Linked DNA regions of Anolis sagrei. The protein of the gene in region 2 purifies or fractionates together with the protein of the main gene of each other region. This does not show direct contact. Links are inferred from orthologs where the notes say so. Each region holds a gene or a part of one and is shown on either strand. Other genes may lie near its edges. The genes, in order: ASF1A and IPO4.

Region 1 (15,960 bases), on a different chromosome or scaffold from region 2:
TCATTGTTTACATAGTAGCCAACTCTAATAAATTCTTGACCTCTATAGGTGCATGTGATTAATACAACTGTTACTCCTACGGCATCTGCATCAGGAATAAGTGCTGGATTAGGAGCGTCTGCCTGCAGCCAAATCAAACAAATAAAAGTTAGGAAAGTACTGAGAACATTTTTTCCACTTTTAAAATAAACAATTCATAATCTATCTCCTTGATAAAGACACTTAGCATGGTAAAAAAACATATGTGAATGCCCCAAATCCATCATATAAAAGTTGCTTCTTGAATAATTTAACCTAATGTTGCATTTCTGTGTCTTGCAACTTGTGAGGCACTGGGCTCAGGCATTTAGATAAAATTTAAAACATATCTAAATTAGTTTTTAAATAAAGTCCTCACAAAAGAGCAGGTGGGGGAGGGAAATGGAGCTCTGAACATAATCCAAATCGAGGGGCTGAATCAATTAAAGAGTGCTTTGAAAAGTGATATATCTTTGTTTTTCAAGATGTGAATGGCTTGGAAGCCAAGTTGGGCCACCTGAAAGCTTATGTGTACACACACGCACAAAATATTAGAATACTTAAGTGGCCTAGCTAAACTTTCAATATCTCTGACAACAGGTCCCCAATATGCTATTGATATCCAATTAAGAGTTAAGCCATAATTATTAAAGCCAACATAATAAATAAATAAGCAAACAAAGTAGCTGGACAACATTAAATGCATGTTTGGAAAGGCTATCTCTGCCACTCACTCAACGTTAGAAAAAGAAGGCGCATGGACGGGAATCTTGTGGCTGTTCAGATATTCTTCAGCTGCAACTTCTATCACCACTAGGACACCTGAATACCTGGCGGGCACTGCCTCGCTTGGACTCTGGGGCTTAGGCGCTAATAATAATAATAATAATAATAATAATAATAATAATGAGTTGTTGTAGATTTTTCTAGAAGCATTCTCTCCTGACGTTTCGCCTACATCTATGGAAAGCATCCTCAGAGGTTGTGAGGTCAGAAGAGAATGCTTTTAGAATATGGCCATACAGCTCAAAAACCCTACAACAACCCAGTGATTCTGGCCATGAAAGCCTTCAACAATACAATAATAATAACAGTAATAATTTCATTTTTGTACCCTGACTCCATCTCCTGGAAGGGACTCGGGGCGGCTTACACATGGGACAAAATGTCCACAAAACATCATAGAATCATAGAGTTGGAAGAGACCTCGTGGGCCATCCAGTCCAACCCCCTGCCAAGAAGCAGGAAAATTGGCTTCAAAGCACCCCCAACAGATGGCCACCCAGCCTCTGTTTAAAAGCCTCCAAAGAACGGGCCTCCATCAAAACAAAACAGTCCATTAAAAACAAAAAAAAATACAATTATAATAAAACATAGCAAAGCATAACAATCAGATAAAACACCACCAAATAAAACAAAAGGGTATAAAACAAGGACACTAATCTACACTGACCATTTAATGCAGTTTCAAACCAGTATTAAACGAAGTGTTTTTGCTGTGCTGATGAATCCTGGAACCTGTCTGAGGCCTGGATGGTTATCACACAAACTAGAGCTTTCTTGGGTGTAATTTTGTGGGAGTTTGTTGTCTGGCCATCACAGTTTGAAGCCAGTTTTGAACTGCATTAAATGGTCAGTGGAGATGAGGCCAAGATTGTCCTGTTCTTCTCGTTGCCTATCAGGTATTGGTGAAACACTGAAAATGCTCAGCCGCATTCTCTCCTCTGCAGAGAAACCATTGACTATTATTATCATAAAGAGTGATGCATCCAGACTTGCACATATGAGTTAAAGCTTAGATCTCCTAACCACTACAGTTATGTGATAAGTCTAAAGTTTTTGTGGACATTTAACATTAGAATTTGTGACCTGTCGCATAGTCATGTCATCTAAACATAATTCAGTAAGGCATAAGAGAAAACTTACCTGAAAAACAAACATATGCCTTCCCGCAGGTACAGGGCCCACCAAAACGGAATCTAAAACTTGGTCGTATTCCTCACTTTCTGCTGAGCCCACGTAGATGATTTTCCATTCCAAATCTACATTAGAAGACAAAAAACAACATGAAATTGTACTTGGAAGCTCCACAAGTATCAGAATTGACTTCTAGTGTCACTTTTCCCAATCCCTAATATGGCAATGTTTAAGCAAGAGAGGAAAAAAAGAGCTTGAGATTGTAAACATCTTTATCCAAAGACAAATCTTGAAAATCACTATTTCCAAAAATGTTTCTGCACCACTTAATTTTTGGGGGGAAGCTACATTGTTATTATTTACCTACTAATACCTTACCATTGGTTTCAGTCAAATCAAATGGAGCCTTCTGCTAATTGTACTTTAGCATGAGCCATAAATATTCTGCCAGGTGTGGTGGCACCAGGTATTGGTTGTGTCCATACTGGTGAATTTATGCATTTTTGTACCACTTTAACTGCAATGGTCGATTGCTATGGAATCGTGGGAATTGCAGTTTGACAGGGTCTTTAGCTTTATCTACACAGGCTACAACTCACAAGTTTCCACAGCATTGAGCCATGGAAGTATGTGTGCCTGTGAATAAGCATGTCTCTGTATGTGTGTGTCCACATGTCTGCAAGTAAGTCTGTGTCCACATGTCTGCACGTAAGTCTGTGTCTGCATATCTAAGTTTGTGTCAGTATGTGTGCCTGTATATGTGCCTGCTAGTATCTGCATGTAAGTGTATGTGTGAGTGTTTAGATGTCTGTGTGTGTGTATTTGTATCTGTATATGTGTCAGTGCTTATTGCTACGTGTTTGCATGTAAATGTTTGTTAATGTAAGTGTCTGTATAAGTGTGTTTGTTTCTGTATAAGTGTGTTTGTATACCTTAAATGTGTCTGTGTAAGTGTGTCTCTGTGTGTTTGCATGTGTCTGTGTATGTGTCAGCGTTTCTCTGCATAAGTGTTTCTGTGTGCAAATGTTTGTGTGTCAATGTATCCGTGTAAGTGTTTGTAACTGTGTTTGTATATATAAATGTGTGTGTGTGTAAGAGTATGTGTCCATGTATACATGTGATTGTATGTAAGAGTGCATGTGTCAATGTGTGTGTATTTGTCTCTGCATGTCTGTCAGTGTGTCTCTGCATAAGTGTTTCTGTGCAAATGTGTGTTAGTGTAAGTATACATGTGTCTGTGTAACTGTTTGTAACTGCATATATAAATGTGTGTCTGTATTAACAGTGTGTGTCCATATATAAGTATGTTTGCATGCAAGCGTATGTGTGTTTGTGTGTAGTTGGGTCTGTTTGTTAGTCAGTATTTCTCTGCATAAATGTTTCTGTGTGCAAATATGTTACCATGTCCGCATAAATGTCTGTGTAACTATTGTGTGTGTGTGTGTATAAAAGTGTGCTTGCATATATAAACATGTGTCTGTACAAGTGTGCGTCCATGTATAAACGTGTTTGTGTGTAAGCATATATCTGTATTTGTGCCTTGTGTATTTGTCTCTGCATGTTTCTGTGTGCAAATGTATTTTTGTGTCTCTATAACTAAGTGTGTTTGTGTACAAGTGTGTTTGCATGTCTGTAAGTGTATTTGTGTTCTAGTGTTTGCATGCAAGCATGTGTGCTTGTGTCAGTGTTTTCTCTGCATAAGTGTTTCTGTGTGCAAATGTGTTATTGTGTGCCTCCATAACTATGTTTGTGTACAAGTGTGTTTGCACGTCTATAAGTGTGTCTGTGTTTTAGTGTTTGTGTCAAGTGTTTGTGTCTGCGTAAGTGTTCCTGTGTGCAAATGTATTCTTGTGTGTCTCTATAACCAAATGTATGTTTATGTACGTGTTTGCATGTCTATAAGTGTGTCTGTGTTTATTTATTTATTTACCATGTTTATATACTGCCTTTCTCAACCTGAAGGTGACCCAGGGCGGTTTACAAACGGCACAATTCTGTGTTCTACTGTTTGCGTGTAAATGTGTGGTTGTTTCAGTGTTTGTCTCTACGTGTTTCTGTGTCCAAATGTGTTATCATGTGTCTCTATAACTGTGTGTTTGTGTACAAGTGTTTGCATGTCTATAAGTGTGTCTGTGTTCTAGTGTTTGCATGTAAGCATGTGTTTGTCTCTGTGTAAGTGCTTATGTATGCAAAAACACAGTGTATGTTTGTGTACAAGAATGTTTGCATGCCTATAAGCGTGCCTGTGTTCTACTGTTTGCTTGTTTGTGTCAGTGTTTGTCTCTGCGTAAGTGTTTGTGTGTAAATGTGTTATTGTGTGTCTCCATAACTGTGTTTGTGTATAACTGTGTTTGCATGTCTATAAGTGTGTCAGTGTTCTAGTGTTTGCATGTAAGCCTGTGTTTGTGTCAGTGTTTGTCTCTGTGTGTTACTGTGTGCCAAAAAAAGTGTGTTTGTGTACAAGTGTGTTTGCATGTCTATTAAGTGAGCTTGTGTTCTACTGTTTTCTTGTTTGTGTCAGTGTTTGTCTCTGCATAAGCAAATGTGTTATTGTGTGTCTCTATTGCTATGTTTGTGTACAAGTGTGTTTGCATGTGTATAAGTGTGTGTGTCGTAGTGTTTGTGTCAGTGTTTGTCTTTGCATAAGTGTTTCGGTGTGTGAATGTGTGGGTATGCCTCTCTATAAGTGTCTGTGTAACTGTTTATGTGTATAACTTCAGTGTGTGTATATATATAGAAGTCTATAAGCGTGTGCCTGTGTGTGCAAAGAGCCTAGACCCCTGCAATCCCACTCTAAGGCTACCCAACATGGTTGCTCCCAGCAGTGTTTGTGTGTGCAAAGGTGTTACTGTATGTCTCCATAAATATGTTTGTGTACAAGTGTTTGCCTGTGTCTGTGTTCTAGTGTTTGTCTCTGCATAAGTGTTTCTCTGTGCAATTGTGTGAGCATGCCTCTCTATAAGTGTCTGTACAACTGTTTATGTGTATAACTTCAGTGTGTGTGTAGAAGTCTATAGGCGTGTTCCTGTGTGTGCAATGAGCTTCCCCGCCCTAGGGCTGCCCAACATGGCTGCTCCCAGCCTTGGCCCAACAAGTGCCTCCCAACTTGAGTGCTGTCTTTGTGCCTTTCTTTCTCCCTTCTCTCCCTCCTCTCTCTCCCTTTGCAGCCCTTCACCTTCGGAGAGGTCCTCGATGCACTCGAAGGTGATCTCGAACTGGAAGGGGTTGTAGAAGGGCGAGGGGTTGTCCAGCACCACCACGTTGTTCACTTGCACCTTGGCCATGGCCCCTCCTCCTCCTCCTCCTCCTCCAAAGAGGGCCCCGGGGCCCCAGCCAGCCAGCCAGCCAGCCAGGAGTTGGGGAAACTTTCCCAGGGAGTGAGCCCGCTCCTAATCCGCTTTGTCTCCTTCCCTTGCCAAGCCACGCTCCCCCAGTTGGTTCCCTCGCAGGGAGCTCTTTCCTCTCTCTCGCTTTTTCCCTCGCTCGCTCGCTCGCTCGCCTCTTTGCGCCGCTCTTCCTTCCCCGGGCGGGCCCACTCCGCGCGTGGAAACGGGCTTGCGGAGGCGCGGATTGGCTGCTCCCGCCGCGAGGCCGCTCCTTCCCGGGCCCAGCAAGAAGGGCGCCCGGCTTGGAAGCAGAGCCAAGCATCGCCTGGCGCTCCACCTGCCGGAGAAGCAGCCGAGGGAGACAAGGGAGCTGCCTCCTCTTGACCAAGGCTTCCCGGGTTCAGTGCCCAACATCCCACGCCATCCAGACTGCAGCCAGGGCCCTTCCACGCCGCCCTATATCTCGGAAATCCCACAATATTTGCTCAGAACTACAAGAAAGGAGATTCCATCTGAACGTTAGGAAGAACTTCCTGACTGTGAGAACTGTTCAGCGGTGGAACTCTCTGCCCCGGAGTGTGGTGGAGGCTCCTTCTTTGGAAGCTTTTGAACAGAGGCTGGATGGCCATCTCGCGGGGTTACTTTGAATGCAACTTTCCTGCTTCTTGGAAGAATGGAGTTGGACTGGATGGCCCACGAGGTCTCTTCCAACTCTAGGATTTTATGATTCTAAGTCCACACTCAGATAATGTGGGAATTTCTGCCTCCATATTCTGAAGTTATGTGGAAGAGCCTCCAGCCTACACCAGGCATGGGCAAACTTTGGCCTTCCTCCAGGTGTTTTGGACTTCAACTCCCACAATTCCTAACAGCTGGTAGGGAGTTGAAGTCCAAAACACCTGGAGGAAGGCCAAAGTTTGCCCATGCCTACAATCCTAGAGACCACCCAGTCCAACCCCCTGCCAAGAAACAGGAAAATCACATTTAAAGCACCCCTGACAGATGGCCATCCAACCTCTGTTTAAAAGCCTCCAAAGAAGGAGCCTCCACCACATTCAGGGCCAGAGAGTTCCACTGCTGAACAGCTCTCACAGTCAGGAAGTTCTTCTTCATGTTAAGATGGAATCTACTTTCCTGTAGTTTGAAGCCATTGTTCCGCATCCCAGTCTCCAGGGCAGCAGAAAACAAACTTGCTCCCTCCTCCCTATGACTTCTCCTCACATATTTATACATGGCCTTCATGTCTCCTCTCAGCCTTCTCTTCTGCAAGCTAAACATGCCCAGCTCTTTAAGCTGCTCCTCATAGGGCTTGTTCTCCAGAACTTTGATCATTTTAGTCACCTGTCCTACACTGCTATTTCCTGATGAATATGAGGCTGGCTTATAATGATTTGACTTTCTGGACAATTTATCTCTATGTTTCCTAGTCAGTGCTTGTTCAGCATGTGAATTATGACTGTATTGTGAAGTAGCGTCTGATTATTCACTTGTGTGGCTTATGGAGTATTTATTACTCATTTGCTATTCATTATCTGAGTCGTGGGACATGGCACTCAGTGTTCTTGGTTATTTGATCGTGGTATTGTCTTGGTTGTGTGGGGGAAGTACACTCCAGTTCTGTTGTTCTGTTGGCAGCCCGTGGGTGAATCACTAAAGCAGTGGTTCACCTTGCAAGCCTCCGGTTCTCATCTCAACAGCTGGTAAACTGGCTGGGTTGAGAACCAGTGCATTCAAGGCTTTAATGCAAAGATAATGGTAATTTCTGAGCCGAAGAGCTGGCGTTGTCCGTAGACACCTCCTAGATCATGTGGCCAGCATGATTGCATGCAACACCATTACCTTCCCACATAAGTGGGACCTATTGATCTACTCACATTTGCATGTTTCAAACTGCTATTGGCAGAAGCTGGGGCTAACAATGGGAGCTCAGCCCGCTCCCCAGATTTGAAACGCCAACCTTTCTGTCAGCAAGTTCTTCAGCTCAGCAGTTTAACCCGCTGCAGCTCCCTTTCAAATGACATTTATGATTTCAAGGACAAGCAGTCTGCTGAAATGTGTGTGGAGGGAGAGGGATGGATAAGGAAACAGAATTGGTTATCTAATACTGCAAGGATCCAAACTCATATAAATACATTTCAATTCAGTCTCAGCATGATATTTTATCAGTGGGTTAAACCCTTGTGCCGGCAGGACTGAAGACCGACAAGTCGGAGGTCCAAATCTGGGGAGAGCGTGTATGAGCTCCTTCTGTCTGCTTCAGCTTCTCATGCGGGGACATAAGAGAAGCCTCCCACAAGGATGGTAAAAACATCAAAACATCTGGGCATCCCCTGGGCAACGTCCTTGCAGATGGCCAATTCTCACACTATATGCGACTTGAAGTTTCTCAAGTCACTGCTGACGGATTATTTTTAATCAATTGTGACCCTGCATTACATACATAAACAGGCTCGTGGATAACCAACATTGGTTGGTTGCTAAGGGCAAAAATGTCAGTTATGTCCATAAAAGGGAAAACAGTAGCTGCAAATCAGTTTCATTTTCAGCATATTGCAGTTTGGAGAGGGTGCACCAACACTATAGAATCAATGCAGTGTGGCACCACTAAGTGCCATGGCTCAGAGCTATGAATCAGGCATTCCTTGAAGAATTTTATACGGTTTGGTGCACTGTTGGATCCCCAAGCAGTAGACCCGGGGATCCCCATGCCTGAAGGGCCACACCACAAATTGTTTTTATCCCTCCATTGTGCCAGTGGCCCGCAGCCATCTTTCAGGCTGCCCAATTGCACCCTTATCTAGAGGAAACGTTCGCAACGTAGTCTTCCTAGTACATTGGACTACAACTCCCTCATTCTGTAACTGGATCATTGCCAGGAGTTTCTTGTTTCTGTTCACCTATATTCAGTAACTCTGTCATATTCATGAGTTCTAAGACCATAAGATCTTTTACACTAAGCAACTAATAATAATAACAACAAAAACAAAAACAAGAAGCCAGTAAAGATGGTCCCAGTGGTGATCAGCACACTGGAGCAGTGCCTAAAGACCTTGGCCTGCACTTAAACACAATTGGCACTGACAAAATTACCAGCTGTAAAAGGCTACCCTACTGGGATCAGCAGGCATTATTTGCCAATACTAGACACTTGGGAATCTGACGTGTGATCCAATACAACAGTCAGCAGAGTGATCTTGTCTGCTGTGGACTCATCTTGTTATGTTTCAAATAATAATAATCATCATCATCATTATCATCATCTTTATTTATATTCCTCTCTATTTCCCTGAGGGTACTCAGGGCAGATTATAGAACACATATACTGCAAATATTCAATGCCGTTATACAGTTAACAAGGACAGACAACACTTAAACAGAGGAAAAGGCTTTCTCATCTTTTTTTTTTTTTTTGCTTCCAGCATCTGGAGGCTGTGCTCAACTCTGGCCACGGGGGGGGGGGGGGGGGGGGGTGTTGTCACTCCATCTTCCACGCCAAAGAGCTTTTGACGTCTATAGGTATCGTCCCAATTGAATCGTCGGCATGTCCTTATGGACCCCTTTTATTACCTTCCGGCTTTAAAGTGGTATCTATTTATCTATTCACATTTCTGTTTCTGATCTGTTAGGTGAGCAGAAGCAGGGGCTGACATCAGGCACTCATCCCAACCCAGGCTTGAACTGCCAACCTTTCGAGCGGCAGGATTTTCTGCAGCTTAGCGGTTTAACCCGCTGTGCTAAGCACTATCATACCACTTTGACTACTGCGGTTCCCTCTTGCGAAATCCTGGGATTTTTCCTTTCAGGGAATGATATTTAAATTTATCAGCCAGTGAGCTCCCCATGACTTCATAGGGTAGAAACTTGGCAGCTGAAATGAAGTTGCTGTTGTTGTTTTGTGTGCTTTCAAGTGATTTCTGTCTTCAGGTGGTCTTAAAATGAACCTATCACAGGGTTTTGTTTGGAAGATTAGTTCAGAAGAGGTTTTCGTCACCTTCCACACAGGCATATAACCCAGAATACCAAGGCAGAAAATCCCACAATATCTGCTTTGAACTGAGATATCTGAGTCCACGCTGACATATATTCCAGTTCCAAGCAGATAATGTGGGATTTTATTCAGCTGTGTGGAAAGGACCTATGAGAGTGACTTGTTCTAGATCACCCAATTGGTTTCATGGCCAAGTGGAAATTTGAGCCATGGTCTCCAGAGTTTTCATTGTACACCACCGTAACTATAATGCAATAATTGTATAGTATGAAAGGTACCTTAACAAGCATTACTCAAAGCTTACTCTTCAGCCAGAGTTGAACACTCACTGTAAAAAAAACAACTTTTCAAATTATTAAAAAAAACATCCCCCCCCCCCCCCCCGAAGGTTTGACGGTCACTGCTGTGAAAGACTCTGGAGAATGGAATTTGGAGGCTGGCGCGTTGGTTCTAGCTGATGGGGGTCTTTGCTGTATTGACGAGTTTAACAGCATCAAAGAACATGACAGAACCAGCATTCATGAGGCCATGGAGCAACAAACAATCAGTGTAGCAAAAGCTGGGTAAGTGTCTGTTTTTCCTTATGTGCTACAAATTAGCATCTGTGCCCTTTGGGTAAGTGTCTGTTTTTCCTTATGTGCTATGAATTAGCATCTGTGCCCCCTTTTTTTCATTTTTGTCTGTTGACACTTTCACTGATATTCCATGTGAACCAGTGTGGTCCATAGTGGCAGCTTAGGCATTCACAGAAGAGAGATGCTTCCCTCCCCTTTCTGCCTCTATTTGAGAACGAAACAAAAGGTGTTTTGAAAAAGGGCCTTGCGATGAATATAGAGTTGAGCAAGTCCAAATTATTAGTTTTGAGGGATCCTTCTCCAGAGGCAGGCACTGTGAGTCAAGGCACTACAAGTGAATGCTAATGACGTGATTCATTACTCCTGATGCTGTGTAGCCCAGGGTGTCCTCTCTCTAGGTCTAAGAAAGGGCTCCTAGGTGAAGACTTTCTAGACCAGTGGTTCTCAACCAGTGGGTTCTCAGGTGTTTTGGCCTACAACTCCCAGAAATCCCTTGCCTTGTAGGCCAAAAACATCTGGAGGGGTGGAATTGCCTACTCCTGGCCTACAAAATATATCCTTTCATTCCTGAGAAACAATAGCCTTCCTTAAAGAGAGTTTGGAGTAACTTGATGGTGATGTTATTCCCTATGGTGTTCATACATATTTCTTTGTCCCATCGTTGTCAAACTGCATGATTTTTGAAAGATTTTCTTGATGTTACTTTATGATGAGTACCAGCAGTTTTCTAATCTTGCTAGTTTGTTCTCTATTTGTCCCTCCACTTTCCCAACAAACAGCCATTTTTTTCTACAATAGAGATAAATCCTAAATTCAAATCCTGGGTTATATCTCCATTGGACATATTCACACTTGCATATGTTTGCACTCCCAAGAAATATATTTATTTCATGTTAAAAGCACTGCATAAATAAGTATAAAACTGATAAAATACAGGAAGCACCAGTGACTAAATAATTTTAGATCCAAAATGGGCAACAGTGACCTCATTGTCTGTAGCTTTAAATAATTATTCATCTGTCCATAAGACAGGCATTGTGGGTAAGCATACAGATGCAGAGTGGGTAAGCATACAGATGCAGTGTTCTGCTCCACAGTCACACAAGGTGGAGGATTCTTCTTGGTAGTGCCATTTTGCCAAGTTGTCTTTTGATCTGCCCACTCCACTTCTGAACCTGTTCAGGAACTTCCAAGTTGCCCGTTCTTGGTTGGTCTCAAGAAATAGAACAAAGTGTGCTGTGTGCTGTAGAATTTTATATGAAACCAGTATAGTTGTTATAAGTCGTGTGCTCTGATTGTTATGCTGTAATCCCGTTTCTTGTACCAGTGTAAGACTGAGCATAAACACAGCCTTAAAATGACCATTATTGGATGCTATTTGAACAAAAAGGGAGGGAAAACCCATTTTTAGTCAGGAGAGAAATGAAACCGTTGTTTGGTATTGAAGATGGAATTTTAGACCCCTTTTCTACTCCAAGTATTTGTTCTGGGGCTCCAAGGTTTTGCTTCCATATTTAGAAATCCTTACGGTATTATAGAGCAGAGTCAACATCGATTTCTTTTTTGAATTTGTGTTGTTTCTGGCTAAGAGACAAAATACTTTTCCCATGTTATGTACTACTGATATGAAAGCTAAGATTATTGGTGCTACACTTGTTCCCACTCAATACATGAGGTAAGAGCTAAGATGGCACCACCTCGAAATAGATTATTCCTAAATCTGATTTCGCACAGCTGTTTAGCTGTCTGCAATGAAGGGGGGCATGCTATGACTGCCGCAACCAAAACACTCTTCTGGAGCTCTGAAACCAAACCTTAAGTCAAGGTCAAATACATTAAGGAAGAGGGAAAATGTGTACTGGTTCCAGATACTCTTATTATAGCCAGAGTTGTTTGCATACCGAAACTCTGTAAGCATCTGTGAAAACATCTGCGCACCATAATATACAGAGAGAGAAAGAGCATTTGTGTCTCACCCTAAATGCAGTATGTTTATCACTACATAAGAACATCAGTGTTGGAAGTATTAAGAAACATGTTGCTTATGTATGTATGTATATCTCACACCCACATACACCTCCAAATACATAAAAACAAAAAAATAAAAAGAAAAGAAAAGAATTACAAAGAAAGATACAGTTAAAGGCAAAGGGGAAAATTGCAATAATTCCTACCAACCGATTATGTGTTTTAATAGTAAGAGACTGGGCTTAGCACTAAAAAGTTGGGAATTACTGCTGTAAAGAGTTCACTTGAGATCCTCTCTATATGTAAAGGTAATTTCTTCCAGCCTCTTTAATCTAAATGAAATCTTGTTCTGCTTCAGCATATCTCCCAGAAAATAATAATAGTAATAATAATAATAATAATCATCATCATCATCTTTATTTATACCCCGCCACCATCTCCCCAATGGTGACTCGGGGCGGCTTACATGAGGCAAGCCCAGACAACATATTGCAACAAAATAAAACCAAAAACATAAACAACAAGCAACAGCATCATAATTACATAAAAACATATGAATACAATAACAATATAACATTACAATAACACAATCAAGGTGACAGTGGGCGGGCCACATGTGCAGGATAAAATGTTAAAAAACTCAAATGAGATAAGAAGAGGAGCAAGTTATTTACAAGAGGGGGGAGCTCATAAAAAACACAGGGTTGTGGAACCAAACTTTCCAATTTGGGGGGGGGGGCATGTACTCCAGTGATAGAAGCTTTGTGGGGAGCAGTAGTGTCATGTTGTGCATCTACTCACCAAAGGCACAGCAGAAGAGCCAGGGTTTAAATAGAGAGTCAGGATTTTTTTATTCAATTTTTTTTAAAAATAGCGATTTTTTGGGTAGAATTTAATAGCAGTTTAGTAGCTTGAGTCAAGATGAGGATGGAGCTGGATATGTAGTGCCTGACAGAATCTAGATTTAAGATTTCAGGACTGGCTTTCCAAACTTAAATTTCACTTGCCTAACAACAAGAACAGCAACAACAGAGTATTGTCGTATTTTTTTCAATTCTAAGATGCCATCATTTGTAACACACACACAAATTTCAGTACCACCAACAGAAAAAAAAAGGATTTATTTATATATTTTTAAAGCCCCTGCTATTTTAAGGCGCTCCCCATTTTAGAGATGTTTTTATGGGGGGAAAGTGCGTCTTAGAATAAAAGAAATGCAGTACCAATTAAATCATTCAAATACTGGCTAATTGACATTTAAAATGGTGAGCATGGCCTCCAGCCCAAATGTCATTTCCCAGATCCTGATTTCATCTGTTGCCCAATATGTGATTTATTACATGGATATATTTCACTCTGCATACAATTTTATGAAATGCTTTTGGGGCAGGTGGAGTCTAAAATGAAAGATGTCAAGAAGTTTAAACATTTTTCATAGTTTGATTATTTAAATTTCTATCATCTTTCTCTTTAGCTTAGTGTGCAAACTGAACACAAGGACCACTATTTTGGCAGCAACCAATCCCAAGGGCCAGTATGATCCCAATGAATCTGTCTCAGTGAACATAGCGCTTGGAAGTCCTCTTCTTAGCAGGTTTGATCTTGTCTTGGTATTGCTGGATGCAAAAAACGAAGAATGGGATCGCGTCATTTCTTCCTTCATATTAGAAAATAAAGGTATGGTGACGTTTGCATTTATTCTACACCACGTATTGACATGTACACTAGCTACATTTTTTTCATGTGTTCACGAAACACTTAAAACTGATCAATAGCAACAGCTGATAGGGAAATTGTATTTTGATTTATCCCATTTGACTTCTACTATTTTAACAAAAAAGTATGCCACCAATTGTACTATATTCTTTGATTATACTAGATTACAAAACATTTTGAAAATAAATAATCTCAGGCTATTTTGCAATATTTTAAATATATATGATCATTACAAGTTGTTAACTTTACTTTTGACAGTGAAATTCAATCTTTTTAGGTGTTTTGATGTACCCAACCTTACACACAACAGCAATGTAATCATGCACACAAAGCGAAATGAATCTAGCATCTAAGAGCTCAAAGCAATTGGGCTTTCCTAATTTTAGTAATTTTAAAGTCATTTCTCTGCATCTCTGGATGTTCTATCATACCCCAAATAATAATGTTGATTTAATGGAAAGCTTTTGGAAAAAGATGATCTTTGAGATCATAACCTTTTGGAAAACCAGAATCTCCAAAGCTTTTTGGAAGTGTGACCTTTTGGAGATTAATTGGCATTCACTACCATTTGGAAAATCGTAACTTTTTTGTAAAGTATGATCTTCCTGAGAAGAGCTAAAAACTTATTTGATTGAATCTTCTCTTTAGTTGTATATATCCACTAGTATTCATGCAAGGCAAATTAGGTTCATATACCTGGTTATCTCTTCGAACTGTTAAAAACAAAGATTATGACAATTCACAAAATATATAGTAGATCTTCAGAAGTGTTATTTCAGTTGCCCAAAAAATCCACTCTCCCATAAAATATATTGTTTTTAAATCATGCTCTCAAGAGACAAAAATAAAGTAGTCTTAGTTAAAATTAACATAGTTGGTTTACTTCAAACTTCGTGTATTCAGCAACATTGCTTTTGAAAATTTCTTTTTGCAGGCTGCCCAAGTGTGTCTGAAAAGCTTTGGACTATGGAAAAAATGAAAACATATTTTTGCCTTATAAAGAGCCTGCAGCCAGTATTGACTGAGGAAAGCAACCTGATTCTTGTCCGCTATTATCAGATGCAGAGGCAGAGCGACTGCAGAAATGCTGCACGAACCACCATCCGCTTATTGGAGAGCTTGATACGGTTAGCTGAAGGTGAGGATTCAGTGGTTCTTTTCCTTTCTCTTGAAATGGTTACATCAAGCAAAAGGGATCAAATGGGGAAAGTCCTAAGTGTGGGAGAGAGTCTAATGTGACAAGAAAGCCACATTTCTCACTTTTGTAAGTTGCTGGTTGTCCCAAAGAAGGAAATGTTATTTCTAAGAACTTGCCAAGCTTGAATAAATATTGGCACTTCTGAAAACAGTTTCTTCTTTATTATTTGTTAGCTTTACAAAAAATGCTCATATTCTTGGAATAATTGAAATTTTACTATTTATACAGTTAGTTAAAGCCCCCCTGGTGACACATTGAACCACTGAGTTGCTACATCTGGGCAGTAGGGTGAGCTCCCACTGTTAGACCCAGCTTCTGCCAACCTAGCAATTTGAAAACATGCAAATGTCAGTAAATCATTAGGTACCACTCCGGTGGGAAGGTAACGGCGCTCCATGCAGTCATGCTGGCCACATGACCTTGGAGGGGTCTAAGGACAGTGCTGGCTCTTGGACTTAGAAATGGAGATGAGCACCACTCTCCAGAGTTGGACACGACTAGACTTAGTGTCAGGGGAAACCTTTACCTTTACTTTATGTTGCTTCACCTGCCATTATGAATTCGGCACTACATTTAATCCCACTGTCTGCTTCTAACATTTATTCATGTTTCACTACCTTTTAGCACATGCTCGGTTAATGTTTAGGGAGACGGTAACTGTGGAAGATGCTGTAACTGTGGTTTCAGTGATGGAGTCCTCTATGCAGGTAGGTTTCCTTTTAGATATTATTTTACAACATATAACTAAAATAGCCTTACAGATGCCTGTGAGCAGAAGCTGTGGATACCAAAGTTTCAAAGAGGAAGATCCCCAAACATGGTAGAAATGATGCCATAATAATAATAATAATAATAATAATAATAATAATAATAATAACTATTATTATTATTATTATTATTATTGATAAACTGTCCTATCTCCCCAGGGAGAATCAGGGTGGTTTGCACACAAAAAAGGCAAACATCCAATGCCCTAAAATGAATACAAACATCTTAAAAATACTACAAGATAATACAAAATAATAACCATAAACTTATAACAAAAGAAAAATTAACATCAAAATGAAAAACAAAATGCAAATAGTCAAATAAATATAATTATACTGATAACATAATTAATAATTTAAGCATAGACCCTGAAAAACAATTTAAATATGGCTATCATCGTTGTTCTTTCTTATGTACCATAGCAGCAGTGGAATATAAATAAATTAGCCAGCATTCCGACGGAGTTGAAAGTGTCCTAGTTCTCCT
Region 2 (15,165 bases):
TATTTAACGTCCCCAGATTTCACTGTATGCCTCTGCCCTAACCAGTGGCTTCAGCTGGAGACAAGACTAAGATCTCAGAATTTCCTTAGCACCAATCAACAGGAAGAACTTGGAATTTTCCTTTTAGGATTACACCTCCCAGAATCCACACTTAACATGATCACAGCCCGTAAAATAAAAACATTAACTTTTTCAAGCTCCAATGAAGAGCCTTGCATTTTTTTCTCCTTCCACACAACATAACAGCACAAACATATGTCATTTGGGGAAAAGTTCTGAAGCACACCAAAAGTTTTCTTAAATTATTGGGTGCAAAGTCTGTAGCACGCACTTACTCTGTTTCCTTCTGCAAAACGGTCAGCACAAGCTTCTTCAGCCTGCAAGAGACAAGAAGACATGTTTACGACAACTGGGTGGAAAACGAAAGAAAGGCCAAGAAAGAATCACAGTCAAGCTCTTCAAGCTCCCATTTTCTATATTTGCAGTTGTGTAGCATCTGTGACCTTTTGCCTGTTTGGGGACTACAACTCCCATCATTCTTCCCCAGCTGAAATGTTGGAGAGAATGATGAGGGTTGGAGTCCTACAAGATTAGAAAGGACACCGGTTCCCTCGCAGCCTCCTTCTTCAGCACTCACGTGTCCTGCTCAACTGCACTGAGTTTCTTCCAGTGTTTGGTTAGTCGCCTCCTCACCAGCACAGCAGCAAGTTGACGGATCTGAGGAAAAAGCAGAGGATGAGAAGCAGATATATGAGGGAGTCGGAGGGAGAGCCGCAGGGTCCCCACTGTATGTGTATGGCATGCCTAAGAAATAGTTGCAATTGGAAGTTGAGCACAGAATGGTATTGGAGGACTATGAATGCCAAGGGAAGGAATCACCATGTCTTCCAGAACAACTCTGTGGTAAACATCTGGTGTAAGATGACCATATAGAGCAGGCATGGGGCCAACTTGGGCCCTCCAGGTGTTTTGGACTTCAACTCCCACAATTCCTAATAGCCAGTAGGCTGTTAGGAATTGTGGGAGTTGAAGTCCAAAACACCTGGAGGGCCCAAGTTGGCCCAGGTCTGATATAGTCATACTAGGGATGTAGAAATTCACAGAAGGAACGTATTACTTAAATCTGCAAATAATCAAATCCACAAAATGTAAACTTTCAAATCTGGAGGGCCAACTATACAAACGCAGGAACCTCAGCTAAACACAACAAAATTTACATTATGGTCTTGAGTTGTGTACTGGCTACACAGGAAGGTTATAGCGAAGAATATGGGTGCATCTACACACATACAGTTTAACCCCAATTTAGCTTCAATTAATACAGTTCGACCCAATTTAACTCCCATGGCTCCATGCTATGGAATCTTGGGAGTTGTAGTTTGGTGAGGCCCCAGCACTCTTTGGCAGAGAAGGTGAAAGAGCTTGTAAAACTTCAGCACCCACGATTCCACAGCATTAAGCCATGACAGTCAAAGTGGTGCCAAACTATAAAGCCCTAAACCAGTGGTTCTCAACCTGTGGGTCCCCAGGTGTTTTGGCCTAAAACTCCCAGAAATCCCAGCCAGTTTACCAGCTGTTAGGCTTTCTGGGAGTTGAAGGCCAAAACATCTGGGGACCCACAGGTTGAGAACCACTGCCCTAAACGGTTCTGGCCCAACTTACCTGTCTGAACGCATCTTCCCTTATGAATCTGCTAGGACTTTAAGATCGTCTGGGGAGGCCCTGCTCTCGATCCCGCCTGTGTCACAAACACGTTTCGTGGGGACGAGAGACAGGGCCTTCTCAGTGGTGGCCCCTCGGCTATGGAACACCCTTCCTGGGGACATTAGATCGGCCCCCTCCCTCTTAACATTTCAGAACTTGGTTGTTTGAGCAAGTGTTTGAAAATGCAAGGTAAAAGACATAGGAATTGGAACGACTGGACAACGAGATGGGACAATGTTCTTTATTAAGAGACACAAATAGTAAATAATCTATGTTTTAATAGTCTTGTTATGGTTTTATATTATTTGTTAATGTTTTTAAATGTTTTATGGTGTTTTTGGGCATTGAATCGTTGCCACTGTAAACTGCCCTGAGACGCCTGAGGGCTGAGAAGGGCGGTATACAAATACAGTAAATAAATAAATATACTGCATTAATTCTACTGTGCAAATACAGCTTGTGAGAGGTTGGATTTTTTCGCTGGCATCCATCATTACCTGACTGGACATGCCCAAGGAAAAAATACCTTGGGCGTGCCATAAACACACAGTAGGGATCTTGTGACTGGCACCAACAATATCTTTTCAAAAATTCCAAATCAGCTTCAGTAGGTTGAAAATAAGGAGTTGGTTTCACTATGACTTACCTGTGGATCTTGAGAATTGGACATGACATGGCTGAGATGGGACAACGCCTGAGGTTGCTTTAGGGCCTCCTTCAGCTGGGCTGTGGCCTTAGGGCAAAACAGAAACCAAGATGAAAGGTCTGGCAGTCAAATCTATACAAATTCAGCTGGTATAGAAAGTCACTGGGAAGAGGGCTTAATGTGTTTTGTTCATCATTACTTGTTGTTACGTGCCTTCATGTCAAATTCAAGTTACAGTGATTCTATCCTAGTCTTTTCTTGGCAAGAGAAGCACTGATTTCCTCTAAAGCTGACATAAGAGTATGACTTGTCCAAGGTTGTCCAGTGGGTTTCCATGACTGAGTAGGGATTTGATTACTTGTCTGAGCCAGTTTTTAGATCAAAAGTACCCAAATCAAACAATACACACCTAGTGCTAGGAAAAGTTACTTTTTTGGATGACAAGTCCCCAAACCCCTGAGCCAGCACATGGCTAAACTCCCAAAATCCCTCTGAAAACACCATATTTCATCTAAACTAACGTGTACTTTTTTCACAACTATAATGCAGCTTTACCTTAGATTTGTATTTCACCCAATATAAATCTAAGGTGAGTTAGGAAGTTATTATTGAAGTATAAGTTTAAGAATCCTTTAACCACCATATGTCTAGAGTTAGAAAATAATAATAATAATAATAATAATAATAATAATAATTTTCTTACTCGCCTTTCCTTGTGGTTTGAGGCAGGTTACAGCATAATTCAAACTCATAAACATTATAAAAAAATCTATATACATATTAATATAAAAGATACATATTAAACGTATTTCTATAAAATACATATTAAAATACACAGAAGAGGTTAAACGCAAGACACGAGTTTAAAATTCGTGTTTAAATTCAGATTATATTTTTGGACTCAAAGTGCCCTGAATTCCTCAGAAAATATACGCCTACTACTTCATCACACTAGAGAATTAATCCACTTTATGAGTGATGGTCACTTGTTGGCCTGATAGGTGTCTTGTGTCCAAATCTGGTATCAATTCGTCCCGTGGTTTTTTAGTTGTTAATCCCACAAACGAATGTTACATTTTTATTTATATAGACTAGCCGTCCCCTGCCACACATTGCTGTGGCCCTGTCTGTGTAAATGTGTTTTGTGTGTGTATATATATATATTGTGTATATATGTGTATTGTGTATATGTGTATATATGTGTGTTTGTCTATATATGTGGTTTTGTGCATGCGTTATGTATTTTTGATTTTTTTTGTCTTTTAAAGTCTCTTCTGCTGTGTTTTTCTGAGTGATGGTCACTTGTTGGCCTGATAGGTGTCTTATGTCCAAATTTGGTGTCGATTCATCCAGTGGTTTTTAGTTATGTTAATCCCACAAACGAACATTACATTTTTATTTATATAGACTAGCCGTCACCTGCCGCATGTTGCTGTGGCCTTGTGTGTATATATGTGTGTGTATATATTTGTGTATATATGTGTGTTTGTCTATATATGTGGTTTTGTGCATGTGTTGTAATGTATTTTTGATTTTTTGTCTTTTAAAGTCTTTTCTGCTGTTTTTCAGTGTTTTTATGAGTGATGATCACTTGTTGGCCTGATAGGTATATTGTGTCCAAATTTGGTGTCAATTCGTCAAGTGGTTTTTGAGTTATGTTAATCCCACAAACGAACATTACATTTATATTAACTGCATATACTCGAGTATAAGCCTAGATTTTCAGCCCTTTTTTAGGCTGATAAAGCTCCCCTCGACTTATACTCGAGTCAAGGTTATTTATTGTTTTACTCTGTTATTATTATTATTCTCTATTTATTATTATTATTTTCATTTTACTTTATTATTATTATTACATTTATTATTTTATTTTATAATTGTTATCATTACATTTATTATTTTACTCTATTTATGATTGTTATTATTACATTTATTATTTTACTCTATTATTATTCGTAGTAGTAGTATTACATTTATAGGTTAACTTTATTATTTTATTACTATTACATATATTATTTTACTCTATTATTACTGGAAGGATACGTAAACACATGTACATTGAAGAAGGTTAGAATAATGGTTTAGTCAGAGTTGGACAGTTATCTTACAGTAAATATTAATAAACAGTGAATCTACTGATGCTTCAATTAATGTAATTTTATTGGTATCTATTTTTATTTTGAAACTGACCCGTTGCTGCTGCATTTCCCATCCTTGGCTTATACTCGAGTCATTAAGTTTTCCCAGTTTTTTTGGTGGTAAAATCAGGTGCCTCGGCTAATATTCGGGTCGGCTTATACTCGGTATATAGATTGTCTTGGTAATTTTATGTGTATGCTGTATAAGTACACCTGATGTTGTTTATTTTATTGTTTATGATTTGATTTGTTTGTTATGTTATGCTGGCATTGAATGTTTGCCTATCAGCTTGGGAGTGATCCTGGATTCATCGCTGAGCTTGGAACCCCAGGTCTCAGCGGTGGCCGGGAGAGCTTTTGCACAATTAAAACTTGTGCACCAGTTGTGCCCGTACCTTGGGAAGTCAGATCTGGCCACAGTGGTCCGTGCTCTTGTTACATCCCGAATAGATTACTGCAACACACTCTACGTGGGGTTGCCTTTGAAGACTGTTCGGAAACTTCAATTAGTCCAGCGGGCGGCAGCCAGATTAGTCACCGGAGCGTCATACAGGGAGCATACCACCCCTCTGTTATGTCAGCTCCACTGGCTGCCAATCCAGTTCCGAGTACAATTCAAAGTGCTGGTTTTGACCTACAAAACCCTATACGGCTCCGGCCCAGCGTACCTGTCCGAACGCATCTCCCTCTACGTCCCACCTCGGAGTTTGAGATCTTCTGAGGAGGCCCTGCTCTTGATCCCACCTCTATCACAAGTGAGATTAGTGGGGACGAGGAGCAGGGCCTTCTCGGTGGTGGCCCCTCACCTGTGGAATTCACTCCCCGGGGAAATTAGATCATCGACATCCCTCCTCTCTTTCAAAAGGAAATTAAAAACATGGTTATGGGACCAGGCTTTCGGGCAATCTGGCGGTTAGATAAGGACAATGATGACCAGAACCGTGAGTACTTGACATTGTGAAATGAATTTACGGACTATGAGATGGCAAACGCTGAGCATTAGATTGTTTTTATTGATTTTAATATATGGACTAACTGTCTTAATTGTTACAATTGCTGTTTACATGTTTTATCCATTGTTATGTTTATGTTGGCATCGAATTGTGCCTTTTGTAAGCCGCCCTGAGTCCCCCCTGGGGGGTTGAGAAGGGCGGGGTAGAAATGCGTGAAATAAAATAAATAAATATTTTCTGTTGTAAACCGCCCTGAGTCCCCTCGGGGAGATAGGGCGGTAAAGAAATGAAGTTTATTATTATTATTATTTTGTATGTATTGATTACGTTACTTGGAAACCGCTCTGTCCCCTTGGGGAGATAGAGCGGTATATAAATAAAGTTTTGTTGTCGTACTCAGAGCAGACCTGGGCCAACTTGGGCCCTCCAGGTGTTTTGGACTTCAACTCCCACCATTCCTAACAGCCGAACTTGGGCCCGCCAGGTGTTTTGGACTTCAACTGCCACCATTCCTAACAGCCTTTCGGCTGTTAGGAATGGTGGGAGTTGAAGTCCAAAACACCTGGAGGGCCCAAGTTGGCCCAGGCCTGACTCAAGAGAGTTAGGAGTCCGAAAGTAACTTCTGTGGGTCCCAAAAGTAACTTTCCCAAGCCCTGCCCCAAGCCATGCCTGTCCCAGCCTAGCCTCTGCTTCAGTCCCCCACATGGGTGGATATTGTCATGCCCCAAACCCTCTCCCTTCCAATCCCCATGCGATTATTATGATTATTATGATTATTATTAGTATTCTGCTGCTCTACCTGTTGGATGATGGCATTGTCAGGCTGCAGCAAGGCTGACAGGATCCTCTCCAGGTCCCCCGTGGCCATGGCGCAGAGGGAGGGAGGGAGGGGGAAGGCAGGGGGAGGCCCCCCCTCCACCAAGGCAGGAGGAGGGGGGAGGAGGAGGGGGAGGCGCCCCCAAAGCCAGCTGCGAGCGAAGGGCGCCAAGAGGAGCTGCTGGCAGCGGCAACAGTGCCTTGCCAGCACATGTGGAGACGACGAGTCGCCACTTCCGGCCGGAGAGAGCGGCCCCAGGGCGCCCACTTCCGGCCTTTCTCGCGCCTCCCCCAAACAAGCCGCCTTTCGGCCTTCGCTCTGGTTTCCATGGCGACCAGGATTTTTGCGTGGACTAGGCCGCGGCCTACACACAGAGGCGCTTGGGCTACAACTCCCAGCGGCCCTGTTAGGGCGAGGTGATGGGAGTTGTAGTGTTCCACACACACCCCTCAACTGATTAAAAAAAAGAAAGGCCTCTACACTGCCATATGATCTCTTCAGACCACAGTATCTGCTTTGAACTGGATTGTATGAGTCCACACTGCCATATAATCCAGTTCAAAGCACAATTCAAAGTGCTGGCTTTAGCCTTTAAACTAGGACATTAAGATCGTCTGGGGAGGCCCTGCTCTCGATCCCGCCTGCGTCACAGGCGCGTTTGGCGGGGACGAGGGACAGGGCCTTCTCGGTGGTGGCCCTTTGGCTGTGGAATGCCTTACCTGTAGACATCAGACAGGCCCCTTCGCTGTTGACATTCCGGAGGAAGGTTAAGACTTGGCTTTACGAACAAGCGTTTGGCTAAACAGTGCAACTGAACACAGGAAGATGGTAAAATCGAACATAGGAAAATGATACAAGGATTATGAGAACGGATTCTGATTTGCTATTGAGGCGTTATGATATGATAATGATTGATTCTTGATTTTGTCTGTTATGTATAATGTGTTTTAATTGTTTATGATACTGTTGTGATAACCTGTATTATGTAAACCACATTGAGTCGCCTAATCAGGCTGAAAAATGCGGTATAGAAATAAAGCAAATAAATAAATAAATAACGGTTCTGGACTGACCTACCTGTCCAAACGCGTCTCCTCCTATGAACCAGTTAGGACATTAAGATAGTCCAGGGAGGTCCTGCTCTCGATCCCGCCGGCTTCACAAGTACGCCTGGCGGGGACGAGAGACAGGGCCTTCTCAGTGGTGGCCCCTTGGCTGTGGAACGCCCTTCCTGCAGATATTAGATCGACCCCCTCCTTGCTGGCATTCCGGAGGAAAGTAAAGACCTGGCTGTTTGAACAGGCATTCGACTAAGCAGTGTGATTGATTGACTGACTATCGGAACACGGAATATCGGATAACGAGCTTGGATTCTGATTTCATTGATGAGACCTGATGGATTTGTTATATTGATGTAGTGATGTATTGATACTGATGTTTAATGATTTGTAATGCTATTGCTTTTAAATGCTTAATGATTTTGTATTGTGTATACCTAAACTGTTGTAAACTGCTCTGAGTCACCTAATAAAGTAAATAAATAAATAAATAAAGCAGATGATCTGGATTTTATATGGCAGTGCAGAAGAGAATGATAGCCGTAGTCTTACATACCTGGCTGTAGTCTAACATACCTTATTTTGTGCTCATAAGAGCCTATTATTATTATTATTATTATTATTAACTGCTTAGAGGTTAATTATTATTCCATATATTATTATTATTATTATTATTATTATTAACTGCTTAGAGGTTCATTATTATTCCATATATTATTATTATTATTATTATTATAAACTGCTTAGAGGTTCATTATTATTACATTTATTATTATTATTATTATTATTATTATAAACTGCTTAGAGGTTCATTATTATTCCATATATTATTATTATTATTATTATTATTATTATTATTATTATTATAAACTGCTTAGAGGTTCATTATTATTACATTTATTATTATTATTATTATTATTATTATTAACTGCTTAGAGGTTCATTATTATTCCATATATTATTATTATTATTATTAGAAATAACAGTATATTTAATAATTGTTGTTGTTGTTCAGTCGTTTCCGACTCTTCCGACTCTTCCGACTTCATGGACCAGCCCACATCAGAACTCCCTGTCGGCCGTGGCCACCCCCAGGGGCTCCTTCAAGGTCAAACCAGTCACTTCAAGGATACCATCCATCCATCTTGCCCTTGGTCAGCCCCTCTTCCTTTTTCCTTCCATTTTCCCCAGCATCATTGTCTTCTCTAAGCTTTATTAGAAATAACAGTATATTTAATAATTGTTGTTGTTGTTCATTAGTTCAGTCGTTTCCGACTCTTCGTGACTTCATGGACCAGCCCACGTCAGAACTCCCTGTCAGCTGTGGTCACCCCCAGCTCCTTCAAGGTCAAGCCAGTCACTTCAAGGATCCCATCCATCCATCTTGCCCTTGGTCAACCCCTCTTCCTTTTTCCTTCCATTTTCCCCAGCATCATTGTCTTCTCTAAGCTTTCCTTTCTTCTCATGATGTGGCCAAAGGACACATACAGCTCTGGCCCAGCGTACCTGCCCGAACGTATCTCCTTCTACGTCCCACCTAGGAATTTAAGATCTTCTAGAGGGTCCCTGCTCTCAGCCTCGCCCTTGTCACAAACGAGGTTGGCAGGGACGAGGGACAGGACCTTCTCCGTGGTGCCCCCCCCCCCCCCCCCGCCTGTGGAATTCACTCCCCGTAGAAATTAGATCATCGTCATCCCTCCTCTCTTTCAGAAGGACATTAAAAACATGGATATGGGGCCAGGCATTTGGATAATCTGGCAGACTGATAATGGACAATGACGACTAAAGCTTTGGAAACGGAGTATGATAAGCGGAATGAATTTATTAATTACGGACTTGGCAAAACGATGGCCACCAGGCTGGCATTTTATTGTATTTTTATTGTATTAATGTAATGTTTTAACTGTTATAATTTATTGTTACTATGTATTTTACTGTGTGAATTGTAGGCATCAATGTATGCCGGTTGGAAGCCGTCCTGAGTCCCCCTTCGGGGGTTGAGAAGGGCGGGGTAGAAATACCCGAAATAAATAAATAAATAAATAAATTCATCTTTGCCTCTAATATCCTTCTCTCCAATGAGCAGTCGGGCTTTATTTCCTGGTTGGATCTTCTCGCTATCCAAGGCACTCTCAGAACTTTCCTCCAGCACCAAAGTTCAAAAGCATCTCTCTTCCTTCGCTCAGCCTTCCTTTTGGTCCAGCTCTCACATCCATAGGTGACTACAGGGAATACCATGGCTTTGACTATGCGGATCTTTGTTGCCAGTGTGATGTCTCTACTCTTCACTATTTTATCGAGATTGAACATTGCTCTCCTCCCAAGAAGTAAACGTCTTCTGATTTCCTGGCTGCAGTCTGCGTCTGCAGTAATCTTTGCACCTGGAAATACAAAGTCTGTCACTGCCTCCATGTTTTCTCCCTCTATTTCCCAGTTGTCAATATTTAATAATAGTGATTCTCTAACCCTAGGAACCCCCGGTGGCGCAGTGGGTTAAAGGGCTGAGCTGTTGAGCTTGTTGACCAAAAGGTCGCAGGTTCGATTCCAAGGAGCGGCGTGCGCTTCCGCTGTCAGCCCTAGCTTCTACCAACCTAGCAGTTCAAAAACATGCAAATGTGAGTAGATCAATAGGTACCGCTCCGGCGGGAAGGTAAGGGCACTCCATGCAGTCATGCCGGCCACATGACCCTGGAGGTGTCTATGGACAACACTGGCTCTTCGGCTTAGAAATGGAGATGAGCACCAACCCCCAGAGTCAGACATGACTGGACTTAATGTCAGGGGACTAGCTTGATCTCACCTACCTAAGCCTTATGTTGTGCTCATAGGAGTCCATTCACTATTATTATTATTATTATTATTATTATTATTATTATTATTAGAAACTGTTTAGAGCAGGGGTCCGCAAACTTTTTAAACAGAGGGCCAGGTCACAGTCCCTCAAACTGTTGGAGGGCCAGATTGTAATTTGATAAAAAACATGAATGAATTCCTATGCACACTGCACATATTTGTAGTGCAAAAAACACTTAAAACAATGCAATAATTAAAATGAAGAACAATTTTAACAAATATAAACTTATTAGGATTTCATTGAGAAGTGTGGGCCTGCTTTTAGCTGATGAGATAGGATTGTTGTTGTTGTGTGCTTTCAAGTCGTTACAGACTTGGGTTGACCTTGAGTGAGGGCCGGGTAAATGACCTTGGAGGGCCGCATCTGGCCCCTGGGCCTTAGTTTGAGGATCCCTGGTTTAGAGGTTCATTATATAAACTCTTATTTCAAATAATCATAATCATAATCATTGAATCATCAAGTTGGAAGAGACCATGTGGGCCATCCAGTCCAACCCCCTGCCAAGAAGCACCAGGAGGGCCAAAGTTTGCCCAGGCCTGACTCAGAGAGTTAGGAGTACGAAAGTAACTTCTGTGTGCATTCAAAGCACCCTCGACAGATGAACTTCCAAGCCTTCGTTCTAGCTCATGGGAGTCCATTATTATTTATTATTAGTATTATAAACTGCTTAGAGGTTCATTATTATTCCATATATTATTATTATTTGAAACACCACAAGATGAGTCCACAGCAGACACTCTGCTGGCTGTTGTGTTGGATCACACATCGGACACTTTCCAAATGTCTAGGACTGTGTGATGTACCGGCGAATAATGCATGCAGATCCCAATAAGGTGGCCTTCTGCAGCTGGCAGATGGGAATCTTGTCAGCGCCGATTGTATTTAAGTGCAGGCCAAGGTCTTTAGGCACTGCACCCAGTGTGCTGATCACCACTGGGACCACCTTGACTGGCTTGTGCCAGAGTCTTTGCAGTTCGATCTTTAAATCCTCGTATCGTGTCATCTTTTCCAGTTGTTTCTCTTCAATCCTACTGTCACCTGGGATTGCAACATCGACAATCCATACTTTGTTTTTTAACACGATCGTGAGGTCAGGAGTCTTGTGCTCCAAAACTCTATCTGTCTGAATCCGGAAGTCCCAGAGTAGCTTGCCGTGTTCATTTTCTGTAGCTTTTTCTGGCTTGTGATCTCACCAGTTCCTTGTTGCAAGAAGATGGTATTTGTTGCACAAGTTCCAATTAATCACCTGAACAATGGTGTTGTGCCTCTGCTTGTAGTCTGTCTGCGCGATCTTTTTGCAGCAGCTGAGGATGTGTTTCATCTGCTTTCTTGCAGAGTCTACATTTGGGATCTGTTATTATTATTATTATCATTATTATTATTATTAGAAACTGCTTAGAGATTCATTACATATACTCTTATTTGAAATAGTAATAATAATAATGATAACCATAGAGTCATCAAGTTGAAAGAGACCTTGTGGGCCATCCAGTCAGGCTCCTGCCAAGAAGCAGGAAAATTGCATTCAAAGCACTCTCGACAGATGAACCTCCAAGCCTTCGTTTTAACTCATGGGAGTCCATTATTATTATTATTATTATTGTTGTTGTTGTTGTTGGGTTGTTGTAGGTTTTTTTGGGCTATATGGCCATGTTCTAAAGGCATTTTCGCCTGACGTTTCGCCTGCCTCCATGGCAAGCATCCTCAGAGGTAGTGAGAATTATTATTATTATTATTATTAGAAACTGCTTAGAGGTTCATTATTATTTAATATACTGTCATCATTATTATTAGAAACTTCTTAAGAGGTTTTTTATTATTAAATACACTATTATTAATAATAAAAACCTTCTCTAAGTCTTCATTTTAGCTCATAGGGGCCCATTATTAAACAGATTATGATTAGAAACTGCTTAGAGGTTCATCATTATTAAATATACTATTATTATTATTATTATTATTAGAAATATAATATTTAACTTCTAAGCCTTTGTTTTTGCTCATAGGAGCTCATTATTATTTAATATATTATTACTATTATTATTATTATCATCATCCTCATTAGAAACTGCTTAGAGGCTCATTATTATTAAATATATTATTATTATTATCAATAATAATAATTTATTTAATAATAATAATTGACCTCTAAATCTCCAATTTGGCTCATAGGTGCTCATTATGGAGTTGAAGTCCAAAATACCTGGAGGGCCCAAGTTTGCCCAGGCCTGACCAGGTTCAAATCCCCATTCGACCATGAAAACCACACTCTGTGACCTAGTATAAGTCACACACTCTCAGCCTCCAAAAACTCCCACCTGAAGTCATTTCCATGGCTTGTTATGGGGAGGAAATGAGCCAAAGCTTACCGCAGACTAAAGAACAACCAGGGAGCAAAGTCCTTGGTTTATTGAACAGCTCCTGGAATGAAAGCAATAAAGTTTGTCATCTTGTCACATTGTTTACAGACGGTATAATGCAAACCATCCCATAGACCTGAACAAGGATAGGGGAGAGACCCAAAAGCCAGAGGATGTAGATTAAATCTATGGTGAACATGCCCAGAATTTACCAAGAAGAATCGCAATGGCTTACTATACATGTTTTTTGTTCCATTGTTGTTTTGCTGGATTTATACAATGAGCTTTTATAACACTACCTTTATTATGGTATTGTATTTTTTAAATTGCTAGAGTGAACTTTATATTTTCATATTTTTGTTTAAAAGTCACCTTGACTTTGAATGTTTTGATGGATTTTAACTGTGATTTTTTGTAGTGCTGTTTGTGTTTAATTCTGTTTTCATATTTGCATATTTAGATATTTTAAATTGTATACTAATGCTTTGATGTTAATCTGCATTGAGTCTCTTTTAGGAGAGATAAAGCAGGGTATCAATAATAATCATCATCATCACTGTAATCCCAGGTGACAGTAGAATTGACGAGAAGCAACCAGAAAAGCTTAGACAATATGAGGATTTAAAGATAGAACTGCAAAGACTGGCACAAGCCAGTCAAGGTTGTCCCAGTGGAGATTAACATACTGGGTGCAGTGCCTAAAGACCTTGGCCTGCACTTAAAAACAACCTACACTGACAAAATTACCACCTGTCAGTTTCAAAAGGCCACCCTACTCAGATACGCACACATTATTTACCGATACATCAGACAGACTTGGGAAATGTCCAACGTGTCATCAAATAGAAAAGCTAGCATAGTGCTCTTGTTTACTGTGTACTAATCTTGTTATGTTAAGGAGCCCTCGGTGGCGCAGTGGGTTAAAGCACTGAGCTGCTGAGCTTGTTGATCGAAAGGTCGCAGGTTCGATTCCGGGGAGTGGCGTGAGCTTCCGCTGTCAGCCCTAGCTTCTGCCAACCTAGAAGTTCGAAAACATGCAAATGTGAGTAGATCAATAGGTACCGCTCCGGCGGGAAGGTAACGGCGCTCCATGCAGTCATGCCGGCCACATGACCTTGGAGGTGTCTACGGACAACGCTGGCTCTTCGGCTTAGAAATTGAGATGAGCACCACACCCCAGAGTCAGACATGACTGGACTTAATGTCAGGGGACTACCTTTACCTTTACTAATCTTGTTATGTATCTAATGATAATAATAATCGCAATAATAATAATAGTAATAAATCACCTTGACTCAGGATCCCATTATCGAAAGGTGGGATATAAGCGGCCCAGTAAATTTGGAATCTTTGATCAAAATCTTTATGACTTCAAACACATTTCTTGAATAAGAAAACAAGAGGTTATTATCAAGACTTGGAATATCACTATCTGTTACCTTATGTTTGTGTGAATAGATACAGCATAGGTGTTGTTAGTGACAATTTGGAGAAGAATTAAGTTTGGGAACGTTTGCATAAAAGAGCTGGGATGACAAACGTAGCTGTTAAGATTCAGTATTGATAAAGAAAGCCTTTGAGGTTTTCCGCCACTTTAGATTTTCTTTTTATTAATAAAGTTTATTTTCAAGATCTGTAAAAAGAAACTGTTGGACCAGAAACGAAACGAAACCGTCAAATTAAAAAATAACCCAACGTCAATCCTTCCTAATATACATAACTTCTTATATATATATTTTCCATATATAACTATAGGCATTTTCTTCACCCAGGTTTGAGGGGAAAGAAAGGGCTTTCCCTCCACAACCCATCCTTTACAGCGCCAGGCACCATGGGATACGAAAGACATGAAAGGAGAGAGAAAATATATCCATAATTCAGGAGTGATGGGGCCATAATGACCTGATCCCACTGAAAAGTGAGCCTACAAGGCCCCTTTCTCCCTCCAGCATGCAAAGAAGAGGATCCTTAAAAACCGCAGAGAAAGATCCGCCCAGAAAATATATTTATATATGTATCTCCCACCCCAAAAAAATCCCCTCCAACAGCGGAGGGATCTTGATTTTAATCTCTGGGTGGGGAATCATGTCATTCTCCAGGTATTTTGGGGCTTCAGCTCCCAGCAGTCCTCACCCTTCATGAGGAATGATGGAAGTTGCATTCCAAAATGCAGGTTCACATTCCCTAACCTGGCACATGCCAGGTATGTTAGACTACAGCCATCATTCTACTACAGGCAGCCACAATGGCCATGAGCGATGGGAATTGTAGTCCAAACTATCAGGAAGAGTGATAGATTTTGAGGATGAGGGTGAAGGCCACCTTAGTCAGGAAATTCTCTTCCAGATCCAGATAGGACAGTGCCAGCTGGTGCGCCAATTATCATCTATGAAGCCGGCCCTGCCGGCTCTTCTATACTTTAGGTGGCATGAATTTAAAAAAACAAACAAACTTGATTGGTTGGGACCTGTCACCCAATTGCATAAGAGCTCTGAAGGAAGCAAACCATAGTGGACCAAAAAAAATCTTTTCACAGTTTCCAATTGGTCAGGAACAAGAGCCAAACTTGCCTTTTAGGAGGCAGACAGGTCTGATTAAGTTAGCTTGGCTTTTACTGATTGACTAGATTGCATCG

Evidence for each region.
Region 1: the proteins of IPO4 (region 2) and ASF1A purify together in Homo sapiens (affinity purification with mass spectrometry; 4 studies listed by BioGRID and IntAct, counting the BioPlex papers as one, with this or other methods). This does not show direct contact. The link is inferred for Anolis sagrei from reciprocal best matches to the Homo sapiens genes IPO4 and ASF1A.

Annotation. Positions count from the first base shown.
Region 1 is NC_090021.1:88,888,684-88,904,643, forward strand, and holds the start of ASF1A (histone chaperone ASF1A), read right to left. Parts: upstream 5,526-15,960; 5' UTR 5,220-5,525; coding exon 5,111-5,219; intron 2,061-5,110; coding exon 1,945-2,060; intron 123-1,944; coding exon 1-122. Other genes in the region: DNA helicase MCM9, read left to right, coding at 9,638-9,812, 13,267-13,469, 14,443-14,646, 15,331-15,413. UniProt on the Homo sapiens protein: Histone chaperone that facilitates histone deposition and histone exchange and removal during nucleosome assembly and disassembly.
Region 2 is NC_090026.1:7,964,642-7,979,806, reverse strand, and holds the start of IPO4 (importin-4), read right to left. Parts: upstream 6,509-15,165; 5' UTR 6,310-6,508; coding exon 6,241-6,309; intron 2,438-6,240; coding exon 2,351-2,437; intron 718-2,350; coding exon 638-717; intron 378-637; coding exon 336-377; intron 1-335. UniProt on the Homo sapiens protein: Nuclear transport receptor that mediates nuclear import of proteins, such as histones, RPS3A, TNP2 and VDR. Serves as receptor for nuclear localization signals (NLS) in cargo substrates.